2 linked regions of the Xenopus tropicalis genome follow. The protein of the gene in region 1 interacts with the protein of each later gene in a pairwise test. Links are inferred from orthologs where the notes say so. Each region holds a gene or a part of one and is shown on either strand. Other genes may lie near its edges. The genes, in order: usp13 and trim55.

The links.
Region 2: the proteins of usp13 (region 1) and trim55 interact in a two-hybrid assay, tested with the Homo sapiens proteins (2 studies listed by BioGRID and IntAct). The link is inferred for Xenopus tropicalis from reciprocal best matches to the Homo sapiens genes USP13 and TRIM55.

Annotation. Positions count from the first base shown.
Region 1 is NC_030681.2:108,721,896-108,730,668, reverse strand, and holds part of usp13 (ubiquitin carboxyl-terminal hydrolase 13), read left to right. Parts: intron 1-613; coding exon 614-735; intron 736-2,195; coding exon 2,196-2,338; intron 2,339-2,546; coding exon 2,547-2,746; intron 2,747-3,996; coding exon 3,997-4,091; intron 4,092-4,323; coding exon 4,324-4,511; intron 4,512-7,383; coding exon 7,384-7,455; intron 7,456-8,302; coding exon 8,303-8,396; intron 8,397-8,773. UniProt on the Homo sapiens protein: Deubiquitinase that mediates deubiquitination of target proteins such as BECN1, MITF, SKP2 and USP10 and is involved in various processes such as autophagy, endoplasmic reticulum-associated degradation (ERAD), cell cycle progression or DNA damage response.
Region 2 is NC_030682.2:118,727,810-118,737,116, forward strand, and holds the start of trim55 (tripartite motif-containing protein 55), read left to right. Parts: upstream 1-4,215; 5' UTR 4,216-4,411; coding exon 4,412-4,579; intron 4,580-6,200; coding exon 6,201-6,373; intron 6,374-9,307. UniProt on the Homo sapiens protein: E3 ubiquitin ligase that plays an important role in regulating cardiac development and contractility, muscle growth, metabolism, and fiber-type differentiation.

The sequences.
Region 1 (8,773 bases):
ACTAATCTGATTTAGTTTCCCTCCAACCAAATTCACTTCAATCAGTGAGGGTTCCATTTTATTATGTGGCACATCAATTCAGTGCAGTCTAAACAGTGTTTGGTTTTTATTTATCAGTAAGGTAGAAACAACTTTGTTTGAAGTCCTAGATTTTAAATGAATTGATGAAATGAGATTTTATAGATATTAGTAAAGCACTGATTTTAGATGTATGGGTAAGCAGCATGTTTGCTTAGTACATGAACTTTTAGCTATTTCATGTTGGTAGTATTGGGCAAGCAGCAAGATTATTTTTTTCCATAGAGTAGGATCTTCACACTTTTCAGTACTGTATAACAAACCACTTCTTTCTGAGTAATGCTTCAAGCCATATTCTGTTGCTATATCTGGTAATAATAAGGTATATGTACTTTGTTCTTATGGACATTAGATCTATGACTAGGCAACACAGGGACAAATACTTATGGACTTCTCCCATTTATTTTGTAAATATAAACTTTAGGTGACTTGGTGCAAAAAGAAGAATCTTTTCTTTATTCATTTCCATGCATTGATTTAGATAAATTATGTTTTATATTTATGTTGCTGAGCTTAATACCCCTGTGTTTTCCAGATCTAGAAAATAACACCGAGATGAACACTGAAGATTATGAATACGAAGATGAAGCAAAACTTGTTATATTCCCAGATCACTTTGAAATTGCCTTACCTAATATAGAAGAGCTACCCGCATTGGTCAGTGACTTTGAGTGGGATTGTACAGTGTGAACACAAACCAAGCAATATTTGCATCTCATGAGTTTCCTTTTTGGGACTTTTTTTAGTCCCTTTTTTTTATCTATGGTCTGCAAATAGATTTGTGTACGGTAATCCCTTGACAAATGGGAAATGTCATATTTACTCTGTGAAGTGTGAAGACCCTTTGCATTTGAAGTGCAAGTAACGCCAAACAGTCAGATTACTTGGAGCAGCATTGTGTTCTAAGCTGCTCATCTGTTACATGCTATGCAAATTGGGCATTGCAGGCCTGCATGACTGCTTCTACTGTTACTAAAATACTTGTTTACGTTTAGGCCTCTGGCACATGGGGTGTTTTGTGAACAGCTGACTTCAGGCTAAGAACAGTGGCTGACAAAACACCCCTCTCCACCTGTTACAGCTCCTTATACTAGTGAATGACACATGTGCATTTGAATGGACATAGAATAGTGATGGAAGTGGAAACCAAGCACTAGGTTGAGAGGGGCATTTTGGTTGCTGCTGCTTCTCTCTGCCTGAGGGCAGCGACAGACAAAACACCTTGTGTGTTAAGGGTTTAGAAGTACTAGACTGATGTCACATGGGGCTGCGGTAGACTTGCTGAGAGTTTACATCTCAGAGCCAATATTTGCTGCTTCTGCCTGTACCCAGGTGGACACAATGCTTTCGGGTGCAGGCAAGGTAAGAGGCTAACGCAGGCCGAGAATCAGCCCCGCGTGGCATCAGCCTTAGGTCAATGGTAAATGCATCAGTTTAGTGCCTGTGATCTTTAGTGTCCTGGGAGGCAACCATAACCTAGACTTATATACATTATTTTCCATGGCATTACTTCCTGAGCTACAAAAAATGACAGCCAAAGATATCCCATCTACCATTATCATATGATTACTGCACGCATCATGAATAGCATTTTACCTATTAATTATCACACATTAATGCTTTAAAAAAATAATCTTTTAAGACCAATGTGCAATGGACCTTTGACTCATTCCCCTTTGTGGTTTTTCATCTGAAGAAGTGGGGCCTGAAAGTGGCTGTGCAGTCTGTGTCATGTAACTGAATGTGTCTGTCATTAGGGGGCAGAAACCTGTATCTCAACCCCAAATGTGTTGGTGCTTAAATCCTAAACTCATATACAGTCAAAACAGCCAGAATCACATTTACTGCCTGCCATAAGAGATGATGCTAAAAGCAGATGACAGTGCACCTCCACTTTTAATCGGAAGTCAAATTGTTTTGTGGGTTATGAGGCTTATATAAAATGGGGCAAATTTTGTGTGTTTTATCTGCTTTATTTTTTAGTGTGTTGTCAAGGAGCTATGAATTGTCCCTTTCCACCTCCCATAGAGTTTAATGTGAGAAATCCTTTTTATGTACCATCCTTCTATCTGCTTTGATGCAAAAGTGTTTGAAGGTTTAACCCACTTTGTTTGCAGGTAACAATAGCCTGTGATGCAGTCCTCAATTCAAAGTCTCCATATAGAAAGCTTGACCAAGAATCATGGGAAGAAGAACTCCAGGTTTCAAAGTTTGCAAACAACCTTGTGCAAATAGATAATGGTGTGAAGATTCCACCAAGGTAACTGTCATGAAGTAGCAAGGAGTGGAAACTGTCATTCTTAGCCCTTTTTTTAGCTGTATAGTGCAAACATTTTGCCCTAAATATTGCTCTAAACATTTGTATAAAGTTTTGCTATATAAAATATTAAGTCTGGCAGTGTCCGCAGATTTACTAGTGCTATGTTGTATGAAAAGTGTTTACCAAATTTTTGAACTTGTTAATTAAGTAGCCTGTTTCTCAGTGGCTGGAAGTGCTCCAAGTGTGATCTCCAAGAGAACCTGTGGTTGAACTTGACAGATGGCTCCATTATGTGTGGAAGGTGGTTTTGTTCAGGCAGTGGTGGGAACGGACACGCTCTTGAACACCATAAGCAAATGGGCTACCCTTTGGCAGTAAGACTAGGAAGTATCACTCCAGATGGGGCAGGTGAGAAAATGATTCTGGGACAACATCTGTTATTAGTTGCAATATATTCTTTTCATTCTTGGATTATTCATTACCTGGGTAACAGCAGCTTACATTCTGCCTGTTTAGGGTAACCTGACCTCTAGCACTGTTACCTTGACCTTTAGCACATTTAGAGTAGGTGGGAGGGACAGGGCCATATTGTATAAGAGCCCTAATAAATATTTCAATATCAAATGCTTATGAATTGCAACAAACTAAATCTCTCTGCAGCGCAGGGCCCAAAATATTGAAAAATAACAGAAACATCAGTCTTTATCTGCTTTACATTCCAGATCTACTGTTGACACTTGATCTTACACTAGGGTCTCAGGCTTAAATTCTACCTCCTATTTCTTCAGACCCCATGTCATGTCATTTGCTATTATGGTCTCTCTGCATAATTAGCCCATAAATAACCCATAGATTGAAGCATTAATTACTGACAAGAACTCGACAAACCGCTTTAGAAAAATGCTTTATCTTTAAAATGACATTGTCCTTTAAAAGTAAACAGTGCAGCAACATTATTGAGAAAATTTACATTCAAATTTTCTACTTTGGTTTCTACTTTTTTTCTACTGTTTAGCCAATTTAATATTTGCATGATCTTGCAGAGTAAATTGTACTATTCAGTTCTCCATTCTTAGTTAATTGTTAATGTAAATTGTTAATGTTACAGAATGTCTTAAGGTGCCCATACACCTTAAGATCCGCTTGGCGATGTCGCCAAGCGAGCGTATCTTCTCTCGATATCCCCCACCTACGGGTGGGCGATATCAGGAGAATCCAGGCTAATTCGATAGTTTGGCCCTGGGGCCAAACGATCAAATTATAATGTCGGGCATAGGAAAAGTCGGTCCGGGGACCGCAACAACGAGCCGATGCGGTCCCCGATCCGACTAGATTTTTAAACCTGCCCGATCGAGATCTGGCCGATTGGTTTTCCCTTTTCTCTGTAATAATAACACAGTACATTGTACTTGATCCCCATTGGGTTTAATTACTGTTTAAATATTTTTTAGTGGACTTAAGGTAGGAGATCTGAATTATGGAAAGACCCCATATCCAGAAATCCCCAGGTCCTGAGCATTCTGGATAATAGGTTCTATACCTGCAATACGCTATTGGAGAGATGATCATGTAAATTTAAAATATGCTTTGCTGATGACCCCATCTATGCAAATATTAATAAATATATCTAATTGCGCACTATCGTTTGGTCATTGCAGATGTGTATTCCTTTGATGAAGAGGAAGCAGTTATAGATCCCCACCTGGCCAAGCACCTTGCGCACTTTGGCATTGATATGCTGCAGATGCAGGGAGTACGTGTTTTCTTACTAATAATGATCATCCTTATGTTTATAGAGGTCTTTTACAAAGCACAGTTTAATGCATTACTGTATAGTAGCATAACCAGTCTGTATTAGGAGGTATCTCATCTAAGCACCATGATGCTTATAAATAAATAGCAATTGTAAAGACATGATCCCTATTTAGTGATTATGACCTCTCGGCGTTTTCTTGTTGACATGATGCTTATTGGCTCTCTTTTAGAGTGAGAATGGTGTCCTGGACAATGAAGTCAAACCAAGAGTTAATGAGTGGGAGGTTATCCAAGAAACTGGATTAAAGTTAAAGCCAATGTTTGGCTCTGGCTACACTGGCATTAAAAACCTTGGGAACAGCTCCTACCTCACTACAGTGATGCAAGTCATCTTTAGCATCCCTGAGTTTCAGAGAGCGTGAGTATCCTTGAATGTATTGGAACTCTTTGTATTTTTTGTTTCATATGTCATTACAAAGGTGACCACTACAGTACAGCTGAGAGCATGTGGTTTTTCTCTAGATTAGAATTCCACGTGTCAACCCATGTTATGATCCTTTAATTTTTTAAACTAAGGAGCATTCTATAGCCTGTACATAAAATTGCAAATTAATGCAACAAGCAAACCAATTTGTCTCTAGAGTTTAGTGGAGATCTGACTGGTATTTTAAACAGGTCTTCTTTGATTGATGTGCAGGTCTATCCGTTTTAGATGGTGCATTCTTTAGTTTAGTCTGAAATCTGTAAATGTCAGTCTTCCTATTCAAACCATAATTCATGGAATTAATTCTATGTAGTGGTGTGCAGACCAGCCTGAAACCCACAAGTCGGGTGGGTTTGGCCAACATTAGCAAAAGATTTGTGGATTGTAGGTGGGTTCAGGCTTCCTTTTGCCCTGCCTGTGTCCTTACTGTACCCCATTTCTGCCTATGATAGCCTCTGTTTATAGGTGTGCGCTTGCACCGCCCCCTTCATGACACAGAGATGGGGCAGGTCAGACACAAGTCAAAATAGAGGTGTATTCCCGGGTTGGGTTAGGAGCAGGCAGGTTAGGGCTGATGCACATCACTAAATCTGTGGTCATAGATATAAATATGTGATGTGGCATTTTGGATTATAGACCAAAAATGACATACAGGTATGGGACCTGTTATCTAGAATGCTCGGGACCTGGGGTTTTCCGTATAAGGGATCTTTCCGTAATTTGGATCTCAACAATTTAAGTCTGCTAAAAATCATTTAAATAATTAATAAACCCAATAGGCTTGTTTTGCCTCCAATAAGGATTTATTATGTCTCAGCTGGGATCAAGTACAAGCTACTGTTTTTTTCGGAGCGTTAAAACTTTTCTCGCCTTTTTCGTAGCCATTCCGAAAGTTGCGCAAAATGTTGCGATTTTTTTCGTAGCGCTCGGATTCATTCAAGCTTCAGTATGGTGACTTTTCTTGGGCCAGGTTGGAGCTGCAGGGTGCCATTGAGTCCTATGGGAGGTTTCCAAAATCATGCTAAGTCTGAAAGTTTCGCCCGCCGCTTATGAGCGCTCAATACGAAAAAGTCGCGTCAAGATACGAGCGAATCATAATGGATACGAAAAAAATCGTATTGGTAACGAAAAAGTCGCGACAATTTCCGAAAAGTCGTAAAGGCGCCGAAAAAATCGCAAAAAATACGAAAAAGTCACAAAATTTTCGTTTTCCAATCGGAATTTTTCCAATTCGGATTCGTGGGTTAGTAAATGTGCCCCTTAATCTGTTTTCACACTCCAGATGGAAATCTAAAAAAATGGCTGTGCCCTGGTAATATTTAAATATATTTTTGCATGCTAATTTCAGGTACCTCTTCTGTAAACCATCTAACTATTCCAGGATTACAAACATTAATGCATTATGGTAAACACATGCAAGCAAAAATAAGGTAGAAAATATCTAGTAGTGGAAGTGTTTTCATTTGTGTTCTGTTCATTTCTCCCAGATCAGGGAGACCTAATATGAGCAAATAGACCCAGAAAGAATAATTTGGCAGCATGTATAGATGTATGCAATAGAATACCACTCTTTCCACCCTCTCTGCAACAGTGTGGGACTGGCCCACCAAGATACCAGGAAAACTCCCGGTAGGCCCATGTGTCAGGTGGCCCTCTTGCTCACACAACCATTTGCCTTTTATGCCTATACCATGGACATTACTCAATTCTATGGGGCTGATTTACTAATCCACGAATCCGAATCCCGAACGGGAAAAAATCGGATTGGAAACGAACATTTTGCGACTTTTTCGTATTTTTTGTGTTTTTTCCGTCGCCGTCACGACTTTTTCATAAATTGTTGCGACTTTTTCGTAGCCGTTACGATTTGCGCGAATTGTCGCAACTTTTTCATAGCCGTTACGACTTGCTCGTATATTGTCGCGACTTTTTCGTATTGAGCGTTCGTAAACGGCGGGCAAACCTTTCAGACTTTGCATGATTTTGGAAGCCTCCCATAGGACTCAATGGCACTCTGCAGCTCCAACCTGGCCCAAGGAAAGTCTCCCATAGGGCTCAATGGCACTCTGCAGCTCCAACCTGGCCCAAGGAAAGTCACAATACTGAAGCTTGAATGAATCTGAAACTTTCGTACTCGGCGCGACCGCTAGGAAAAAGTCGCGACAATTTGCGCAAGTCGTAATGGCTACGAAAAAGTCGCGACAATTTACGAGCAAGTCATAATGGCTACGAAAAAGTCGCGACAATTTACGAAAAAAATCGCAAAATACCGATCATTACGAAAAAAACGCATTCGGACACTTTTCGGACGTTCGTGGATTAGTAAATGTGCCCCTATATGTGAAGAAATGGAGGAAAGGATAGATAATAGTATGTAAAAAGTGAACAGAGAAGGGGAGAGTAGGCGTAAGGTTTAAGGGTTTTCTGGTGGGCCCTTGGCACCCCAGTCTGACACTGTTCTGCGTTGACTTCTTTCTTTTTAACCTCTGGGCATGGAATATTGACACAGTTAACTGTGCTTATTGGCACTCTTGCTAGTAGCTTCCGCTGATGCCATGTAAACATTATATTCCACTATTTGCACAAAGAAATGGTAGATCAAGTTAGTTTTTCACACAGACAAGTATGATAAGACGATATTCCATGACTTCCTCATGTGCCATGTAAACAATTTATAATTGTATAATTTAATTTAGTATAAATACTAAATCAGATGCAAGGTTTTATTGTTTTACACCAGTACATGAATTTTTTACATCCCACTTCTCTCTTGTATTAATATTTTTTTCCCTGTCTTATTTTTTAGATATGTGGGGAACCTTACACGAATATTTGATTATGCACCTCTGGACCCAACACAGGATTTCAGCACACAGATGTAAGCAATAGATACCATTGTTCACCTTGACCAGTAGATATTATAAAATTCTGAAATACCCTACAAAAACTCAAAAACTATGTATTTTTCATGTAGACAAAAACATTTGTAGCCCCATTAAAATATAATTTCTTTGCAGTAAAAACAATCAGGAATAAGGGGAAAGATAAGAGTAGCATCAACTTCTTTCACTATTTCACTATTTCTTTCTGTCTGGACTCTGGATATCATGGGAGGAGATAGAATGATTTAATCACCCACCTAGCCAACTATTTGATATTGGGCCCTGCTCTCTCCTTTGTATTGCCTGTACTCTTGTGGCATAAATATAAAGAGTAGATCTTTATGCAGACTCCTCACTTCCTCTCTTTTCTTAGAATAATGGTTTCCAAATTGGGCCTGGATCAGTACCAGGGTGGCACACCAGAACACCTAGCTAGAAGATCAATTCAGGAGAGATTTTGGGTTGAAAATGTATATGCTGTGCTATATATTTTTAGAACTATGGCTGAGCGAATGGTAAATTAATTGTTTTCTATATCTGTAAATTTTTATGAACTAAAGGGGGGCCTGGCCATGGTTTGGAACTTCAAGGAGAACTAATAAAAGTAATAAAAGATAATAAAAGTTTGACAACCAGTGCCTTAGGATGACCTTTCTGGGCTTAATGAGAAGTAGTTAATGTAAAAAGATATCATGTTCCATTTATGCATATAATAATTTTAATCTGTAAGTAATGCTTGGTGAGGTCTGACAGTGGCAAGGCACAGCAACTGTATGTCAGCTCACTTCAAAATATAAAGCTCACTGACATGTTTTCATGGTTTTTCTTCATGATTCTGCTTAGGGCTAAACTTGGCCATGGTCTGCTGTCAGGACAGTTCTCCAAACCTCCAATGAAATCTGAGCTAATCGAGCAGGTGATGAAAGAAGAACACAAGGTATTTAATCTGAGAATTGCCAAAGGTAGAGTGAGTTATGGATATGAACAGATGCAAGCTTTCACTAATGCACAGTGGAGTCTTATTAAATGTCATTTATGGAGAGTATCACACCAATGTGCGATTTGCAGAAACCTCAGATAAGCCCTTTGATTCAGGGGACAACTAGCAAAGCAAATATTAAATAAACAGCATTGGGTACATCTTGGCTAAACAGGGTGACGTTTTGGTTGTTCTCTCTTGGTAAATAAGCTACCTTGACTCCTCTTTTTAGAGATTTAAAGGTTCTTGCCAAATAAAAGTTTTTTTTCTTTTTTTTAATCTTGGTTAGTATATAAACGTACCCCCATATCTGATATAAAGCATATTACTTTGCA
Region 2 (9,307 bases), on another chromosome or scaffold:
TTCAAAAAAATGAAAGTAATTAAAATATAATGTATTGTTGCCCTGCACTTGTAAAACTGGTGCCTTTACTTCAGAAACTTTGCTTTTTAGTTTATACAGGTATGGGACCTGTAATCCAGAATGCTGGGGCTTTCCGAATAAGGGATCTTTCCATAATTTGGATCTCCATAACTTAAGTCTACTAAAATTAATTTAAACATTAAATAAACCCAATAGGATTGTTTTGCCTCCAATAAGGGGTAATTACATCTTAGTTGGGATCAAGTACAAGGTACTGTTTTATTATTACAGAGAAAAGGGAATCATTTATCCATTAAATAAACCCAATAGGGCTGTTCTGCCCCCAATAAGGGGTAATTATATCTTAGTTGGGATCAAGTACAGGTACTGTTTTATTATTACAGAGAAAAGGGAATCATTTAACCATTAAATAAACCCAATAGGGCTGTTCTGCCCCCAATAAGGGGTAATTATATCTTAGTTGGGATCAAGTACAGGTACTGTTTTATTATTACAGAGAAAAAGGAAATAATTTTTAAACATTATAATTATTTGCTTATAATGGAGTCTATGGGAGATGGCCTTTCTGTAATTTGGAACTTTCTGGATAACGGGTTTCCGGATAAGGGATCCCATACCTGTATATATAAGCTGCTGTGTAGCGACAGAAAAAACACAAAATCCGTTATCTGCTGTGTAGCCTGTTCTTGAATGGCTGCCCCCATGGCTACAGCTATAGTAGCGCTTCTGAAGCAAAGGCACCAGTTCTTCCAGTGCAGGGCAACAGTACATTGTATTTCCATTGCTTTAAAACAATTTCATTTTTAGATGTTACTTTACAGCATGTCTTGCACCATAGAGCCAAACTATGCACTATAAGATCACCTCGTGAAAGCTCCATTAATGAACCCCAAACAAGTGTGTGGGAAATATATGATTAAAAAATTGTACACAGTTGTCTAATGCTCTTATATTTCCTAAAAATCTGTCATTCAGAAGATAATGATGGATAAAACTGAAGTGTATCATATAAGTGAGAGCCTACTGTAGTAAATGGCGAAATACATGTGTGTGGGGGTGGATATGCCTGCTAAGCACAGAAGCCTTTGGATGGTATTTGAGGGGTTAACAAATATATGTTGTTATAGATTTTCTTAAATGAATAAAGAATTGCTTACTTAAAATAATAAAATGAGTATCAGTTAGGGAACTTGTTGGCTTGTAGACAATGGAGTTTATGAGGGTGTAGCATTGGGGTGGCAGATACATGCTAGAATGTAGAAAACACTACGGTTCAATACTTTTTCCTTTATTGCCTCACCATTTTTGCAGACCTATTAGGGCATATGTATGTCCACAAGTGCATGTGGTCCCCTCAATTTCCCCACAGTCTGTTGCGTGTAAAACCACTTTCATAAAAGGTATTTTTACCAAAATGTCCTCCAAGGACTTCCATATAGTTGCGCTTGGCACCACCCAATCCTTCCTACCTTCCATATTGAATTGAGAGCTGTGACACTCATTAATGCAGTAGAAACCCACAGCTACCACCATCTTTGGAATAGGCAGTAGCTCAAGGGTTCCCTCGGTGCCCTGCATCAATCACTATAGTTCAGTTGCGCCAAATGAATAGGGTACATGCATCACTTCCATGGCAATCACTAGAAATGATATTGTTTGTTACTTACATGGAGCAAGCAGTTGTCTATAAATATAGACTGCTTAAGGCTGAAGTGGGGCATAGGATTTTGCAGATGGGGTAGAAAGAAGAAAGAGTTTGGCACAGACCTCACCGCTACCCAAAATGAATGTGCGTTTGTCAGCCCTAACCTTCCCAACCAGCGGTACATCTTTCCAGACTCTCACCTCTCTCCCTTTAAGTCTCAAAGTTCAGTTGGTTTAAAATCCTCCTACACTTTCCTGAGGGAGAACTTGTTTACACCCTGATAAAATTTTTAGCATGTCTGGCTGCAAAGCAAAGGATAAAATACAAAATCCCTTTGTTAACCTTGAAAGCCATTCACGTCTCTTTTCCTTATTATATTTTTCACTTAGGTATCTGTATTTTACTCTCACAGTTGCTGCCTTTTTCACACCCAGGGGTAGAGTGGTTTAGGTAGTCTTGATGGACCTTGGTCAGGGTGTGACCAGTTGAGATATGAGGCCCCATCATTCCTTAGAATAACCCTACTCAAACCAGTAACAAACACTGCCATTTAAACATTTCTATATGGTTTTTAGCTCTAGGATTTTATCCCTGACATGATCTGTAAGAAACTCTCCCTCATTCCCTTTAAAAATAAATTCATGTCTTCTTGGAGCACTAGTACAACGTCTGGTATGACCCTGGCACTTTTGGCCAAGGGCCCCAATATTACTGCATTATTACCTTGTTTAGGGCCAATGTTACCCAATCTCTTGATTCAGACTGCTTCCTGCAGAGACAGAAATAAGGAGCTCTTATGTTCCAGGGATTCCAGTAACCTTCACACCAGGTGGTTTTGAGTACCCAGTGACCCTTAATATTTGACATTACCAGATATCTCTGCATTGAAGGCATTTATTTGGAAGTCCTTTTGCAATACAACACAATGTCATTTCCAGGGGGTAGGTTTAGTTTTGTTTTAGTTTTGCGTTACTAGAGATAGAAATATCAAAAGTGATCTCTCCACCAGAGACCCTTGAGAGACCCTATTTCTGAGGCCTGACAGACGCTGATATACTAATAATCCCTAGACTCAAATCTTCTCATCAGTAGATCTACATTTCTTTCTGTTTTTATTTTAGATGAAGGACAATTGGGTTGTCATTTCTGTAGGTGTTACTTAGATTTCCCACTATCCTATCAGCTTCAGACTGGGGTACCTGGGGCCCACCAAATACTGGACCTATAGGGCTGTGCTGTAATCTGTACCTAGTGCTGGATTACCAATGGATTACAAAAGCGGGTCCCTTGGTTCTCTAGAAATTGCATCCAGGTTCATAGTAAATAACTCCTTTACTGTTATGGTATATAAAGATCTCTATGGTACATATATCTCTTTAGAAGAAAGAAGCTGCTTTCCCTATTAGAGGAGTTGGCAGAAATGAAAGTGATTCTGCTTATCCAATCAGATAGCAACCTCGTCCTGAGCAAAGTTACTGTATGTGCAACACAAACACCCATATCTAAGTAGGATGTACAAGGTTTGCCAGGTGCAGTAACCCAAAGAAACCAATAAGATGTTTGCATTTGAACAGCTGACAAGTAAATATTGAACTAGATATTTAGCAAAATTAACATAATTTAAGATTGTTTAAGATTTAGTTGTGAGAAACACAAGCTTAGCAAAATAAAGGGCAAAAAGTAATTTAAGGCACAAGTTGCTGCATTTTTTTTCCCACAATTCCAGCATAATTATATGCACACAGCGATAATGCGTCTGATACAATTGTGGCCAATGCATGAAAACATACACATATGTGTGAGTGCTTTGATGTGAACACACAGCAGCTAATTGTGCTGAAAATTTCCAGAGTTCAAATGTTGTAATTTCCAGAGCTCCGCGTAAAAATGCCGCCTGTGCCAGATTCTGTAGGCACAAGTTCACTGTATCAGTTGGCTGAGGCTGTTGTAGGAAGCTTGAGGGTTCCCCTGCACCAACAGGCACTGTAGCGCACAATTTTGTAACAAATGGGCACTCAGCACAACTGTGCAGAAGGGCTAGGAGCTTTGGATGCAAGCGCCTTTAATAAATGGTGTATATTTGTGACTGTGGAAACATTTGTGCAACCGCAACTGCACTTTATAAATGACCCCTTATGAGTTTGTGTTTTGCTTGGATACATAAGTAATTTCATGGATGTGCTGTGCTGGCAGCGTGTTGTATCCTACACACAACATTTAGTCAAATACACATGCAGATCTTTCCCTATATTACACATGCCATGCTGAATCTATAAGAATAGAATATTACAAGCTTTAGCCTGCTCCTTATTACTTCGTACTGCTTTTAGAAACCCTTTCCCACATGGGCTCCTCTGTTCAGATCAAGCAGACATATATATAATGACAACTGTCAGATTCCTTTCCAGATGTCCTTTTACCCAGCTGCCCCCACTCCTTCCAATTCCCACACAGAGGAATGCAGACCAGACATGCCTGGGATCCATCACCTGTCCGAATCCATCCCGGTGTCACTTTCATATATGGACAGAGCAGTATGGCAGCATGTGACAGACTGCTACTAAAAACAGCCCCAGCACTCCGCAGATGATCCTTTTAAACAATGTCACCCAGCTGAGCTGAGGAAACCCATTGGACATTTGATCACACACACAGTCCAGGAATTATTTGAAGGGAAGGAACCCGGAAACTGATCAGCACAACCTAGTTCTCCTAAAAGTTTATGCTTCTCAGAATAGAAAGGAGATGAGCACCTCATTGCAGTACAAGTCATTCTCCAAAGAGCAGCAAACTATGGATAATCTAGAGAAGCAACTCATATGTCCAATATGCCTGGAAATGTTCTCAAAACCCGTGGTCATACTTCCCTGTCAGCATAATCTGTGTAGGAAGTGCGCAAGTGATATATTCCAGGTAAGAATTTTAATGTTTGATCATCTAATCAATAGAAAATCCAAGCACCGCTTTCATGTGCTGTAAGTATTGTTATGATTTTATTCAAGTATAGGGCCTGTTATCCAGAATGCTCGAGACCTGGGGTTTTCCTGATAACAGATATTTCTGTAATTTGGAATTCCATACCTTAAGTCTACTAAAAATCATTTAAACATTAATTAAACATTAAAATGAAAACCTTACTGTAGAATATATGAAACAGTAAACCTGAGATACTACTCTAGGTAATCCAACATAAAAGTACATAGAGTGTGTTCATACAGAGTGTTGTTATTGTGTACTATACCAGAATCCCACACCAGGTGGAGGCTGCCGTGGCTGCTGGGAGATGTAGTACAACTTAGGTCTGCATGGTAGGCATGTCCTGTAACCTATGTAAAGCCACCATGCAACAGGCCAGTGCCTAACTTTAATCTGACATTTATGCATTCAGTTTGAAGCCTTGGATACATATACTGTACAGTTGACCTTCTCTGATTAAAATGATAATTTACAGACATTATACATCTTTTAATGTTTTTTTTCTAAAGCACCAATATTTTCCCCTAACTGTGAACAATACAGTAGCAATACAAAAATATAAAACACATAGCAGCCAACTTGTAAGGGCTTACAATTATTCGACAGCTATAGTCATTCAATGTACAAAAAAACAAATCAGGTATAGGATCAAGAATGCTTGGGGCCAGGGGTTTTCCAGATCACAAGTTTTTGAATAATTTGGATCAACATAATTTAAGTGTGCTAAAAACATTCAAACATGAATGTAAACATGTAAAGACAATAGTTTATGTATATACAGTACAGTATAGGATCTATTATCTGGAGTGATTTGGACCTGGGGCTTCCAGACAAAGGATCTTTCCATAATTTGGATACCGTAAGTCTACTAAAATATATTTTAGGCATTAAATAAACCCAATAGGATTGTTTTGCATCCAATAAGGATTAATTATCATGTTTGGACTGGGATTCAGAATAGGCCCTGTCATTTCAAACACCCAGAGGCCCAAACAGCCCCCACTAAACAGTGAATGGCACCTTACAGCAGCCTCTCTGGCATTTGCCAGAATCCACAGATTGCCAGTCTGGGCCTGTTAATCATAGCTTAGTTACCATTAAGTACAAGCTACTTTTCTTATTACAGAGAAAAGGGGAATCATTTTCAAAAATATCTGTAGTAATAAGTCACCCAACTGGCTTTCTCAGTTCAGAGAATTCAGCAAGTCTAGTTGATTTGACTTATTACTACAGATTACTACAGATTATACCATGACCTGGATGAATGAAAACCTTCACAGACACATTTTCAAAACTGTGAATTGATTAAAATGAAGTCCAAGGGAGCTGGACTTCTTATAATTTGAAACTTTCTGAATTACGGGTTTCTGTATAAAGAATCCCATATCTGTATATACTGCATGTAAACTGAAAGGACTGTACTTATAACTGAGACAATGATGCTACTATTACAACAACCTGTATTTACCTGTGTCAGACACAGACTTATCTCAATCTATTCTCGTGTCTAACACACATAGAAAATTTTTAACCAATTTTTCTCTGCTGTCATCTTCAGGCTTCCAATCCATATTTGCCAACACGAGGAGGAAACACAGTAGCATCAGGCGGACGTTTTCGTTGCCCCTCGTGCCGGCATGAAGTGGTGCTGGACAGACATGGGGTCTATGGACTACAAAGGAACTTACTGGTTGAAAATATTATTGACATTTATAAACAGGAATCTACAAGGTAACATTGGCATTTTAGTCTTGTTTTTTAACAGTAAATATCCTAAAGCAGAGTTTTTCTGAATTTTTTGGATTCAAGACTTTTTGGCCCTAAATTTGTTAGGGTTTCCATGTGCATGTGACATGGTTAGAGGTATGAGAACACTGTCATATTAGTCACCTTGTTATAGATTCATAAGGATCCCAAATGGCAAATCAGCATTAAGTTCACATTTTTTTTTGCCAACTTTTTCCTTACCATGTGAGGTTTTTTTTAACATACAGCTTTTTTTTGTGAGTCTATGGGTGTTTTTTCATGGCAAAACCTGGCAAAAAGTTTTGCTCCTCAGTAGTGGCAACATGTTCCGTGGCACTGTACATAGGAGTACCTGACAAATGACAAATAAAGTAGGTAATAAAGGCCCTATCCACAAGAGCTTACATGCCACACTGTATTTGTAAAACTGCATTGCATTGTGTAAGGAAAACAAGATATTTATGTCTATGAAGATTCTCATTCATCCAGGTCATGATATACAGTATCTAGTAGAATTAAGTCTAAAACAACTGGACTTTTCTGAGTTTTTTCACTCATCCGAGTGGCTTCTTCAGTTCAAATGACTGGTAGGGAAAAGATATATCTGTGCATTCTGTGACATGGATAAAGTTTGCCCAGTCAATTATGTCCAGGGGCATTTTTGCCAATAAGCAAGGTTTGAGACACCTTGGGTGGAAAATGAGCCAGATTCCAGGTTTATTTAGTTCTTTCAGTGGAATATTTGGCCAAACCTTACCCATTGTCCCTAACAGTTGCATATCTGTTTTTATAATAGTGATTGTGATTAGCTAATGACTTCATTTAATTAGCTCTATAATTCTCAATTGAATATATTGTAAAAAAGCAATTATACAGTATATTGCATAGGGTTAGTAAGTGGCATGTGTAAAGTCTTTAATATCTTTCAGATGTATGTTCCATTATCATTACCAGACCAATTTATCCCAAATGCTGCTGGTTATAGGACTAGGGTTGTTGCTAAATTATAAGCACTGTTTCATATCTATCTATTTCATGTGCTTTAACCAGTTTTCATGTTTTGTATTATGAAGATTTTGTAAATTGTAGGTTTAACAATTGAGGCACACAACAAAACAGAAAAATATAAAAACAAATAACATAATTACAGTATCTGCCTCCCTCTTGCATTACAAACCACTTCTCATTGTATGGACAAATAGATACTTCCTAGCCAGTTACCTGCAAATGAAGTCAGTTTTTGGCTGAGAGAGGCAGTTGTAAAGTTTGTAGCTTATAGATGTAACCCACAGTGTGAGAGAACCGTAGGCCACCAAGGTACTGGGGTACATAATAGGTTCTAATTGCACAATGGGTTTGAATGGTTTATATAAGATATTTAATGCAGTGTTTTGTGAGCTATGGTCATTGTCCAAACTAGAGATACCCTTAAGGTGGCCATACAAGGGCACATTTCAGCTGTTGATTTTGGTCCTTCAGACTGATTTGGAAGCTGGTCTGCCCGTGTTGGGCACCCCTGTTGGGCCTACCCAACCAACATCTGGCCTTAAATTATCCAGATCTTGATTAGGCAGGTTAGATTTTCCTGTTGGTTTGGGGACCGCATCAGCTTGTTGACACAGTTCTTGGTCTGATGGCGCCCATGCCCGCCGTTTTACATTAGATGGGCGTATCAAGAGAAGATTCATTCATTTGGCAACCTTGCCAAACAAGCAGATTGCAATATGTATGGCCACCTTTAGTCTGTTTTTAAACTACAGCACCTAGCATCAACTAACCCATCAAGGGTTTTCATGGCTGGCTTGAGTTGTAACAATAGCTGCAAGACTGCAGGTTGGACATCCATGGCATGATGTCATTCAGATAAGCAGAGATTATCAGAGACTGTGGAGTGGCTGTTTATACAACACAAAATTTCTCCCAGTCCCCCAGCACAGTACATGATTATTGTCTTAGGGGGTTGCTTGTTCTATTGTGGAGAACTGTAACAAACCTGAGACACTGTGTGATCATAAGGTGGTACTAATGAATAATGAATTAGAAGCATGCCTTAAAAGAATAAATCACCACCTACCTTTTTTCTTACCCATTAGACTTCTTTTTTACCTGCTTTTGCTTCTCCGTTTCACCAAACTTGAATGAATACATTTATTTTTCATACATTGTTAGTAATTACATACATTGTTAGTTAGTAGTACATACAGAGCAATTGCCATTTATTATGTAAGACAGACTAGTGGAGTTTTTTTTAAATTCTGTACTGTATATTTTGGCTAAATACAAACATCCTGCTTATGAGGGTTGCCAAAGTGTAGCTATCAATGAAACAATAAATGGAGGCTTTACTAGGCACAATCAGCCGTCCCCTCCCCTTGCCCATCGCTAAGTTGCATATTATTTAGATGCACAAGTTATGGAGCAGTTGCAGGCCCTTCATGAGCCGACGCTACACTCTGCACCTATTGCTGGATTTTTCTATCCAGTGCCAGGATCAGGGTGCAGCCATTACCCATTACCAGCTATGCACACAGTAAAAGTGTTCTCTCTTCCTGAGCCCCGTTAGCAATCTTGCATTTCTGCCCCAGGTCTTTGTTAATAACACCTATATTCATGTAATACTTGGGCTTCATATGCATGCTAATAGGTCATGGCACTATGAGCAACTCTTGTAAACAAGCAGAATATGCACCAAGCCCTTAAATATCCCCACTGGAGCAAATGGTTGCAAGGTTTTGGGGACAACAGCTGCTCCTAAGAGGAAACATGAGTGTAGCAGATGGGTTACAATAACATTCCTGTCCATAAGTTACTTACACCCTTTTGGTTTACCGAATATATTTGTCATGATGTCAGCTGACAAAACACAATAAGTGACAAACATAAGGTAAGAATGAATACAGATCATCCCTCTAGGAAAAA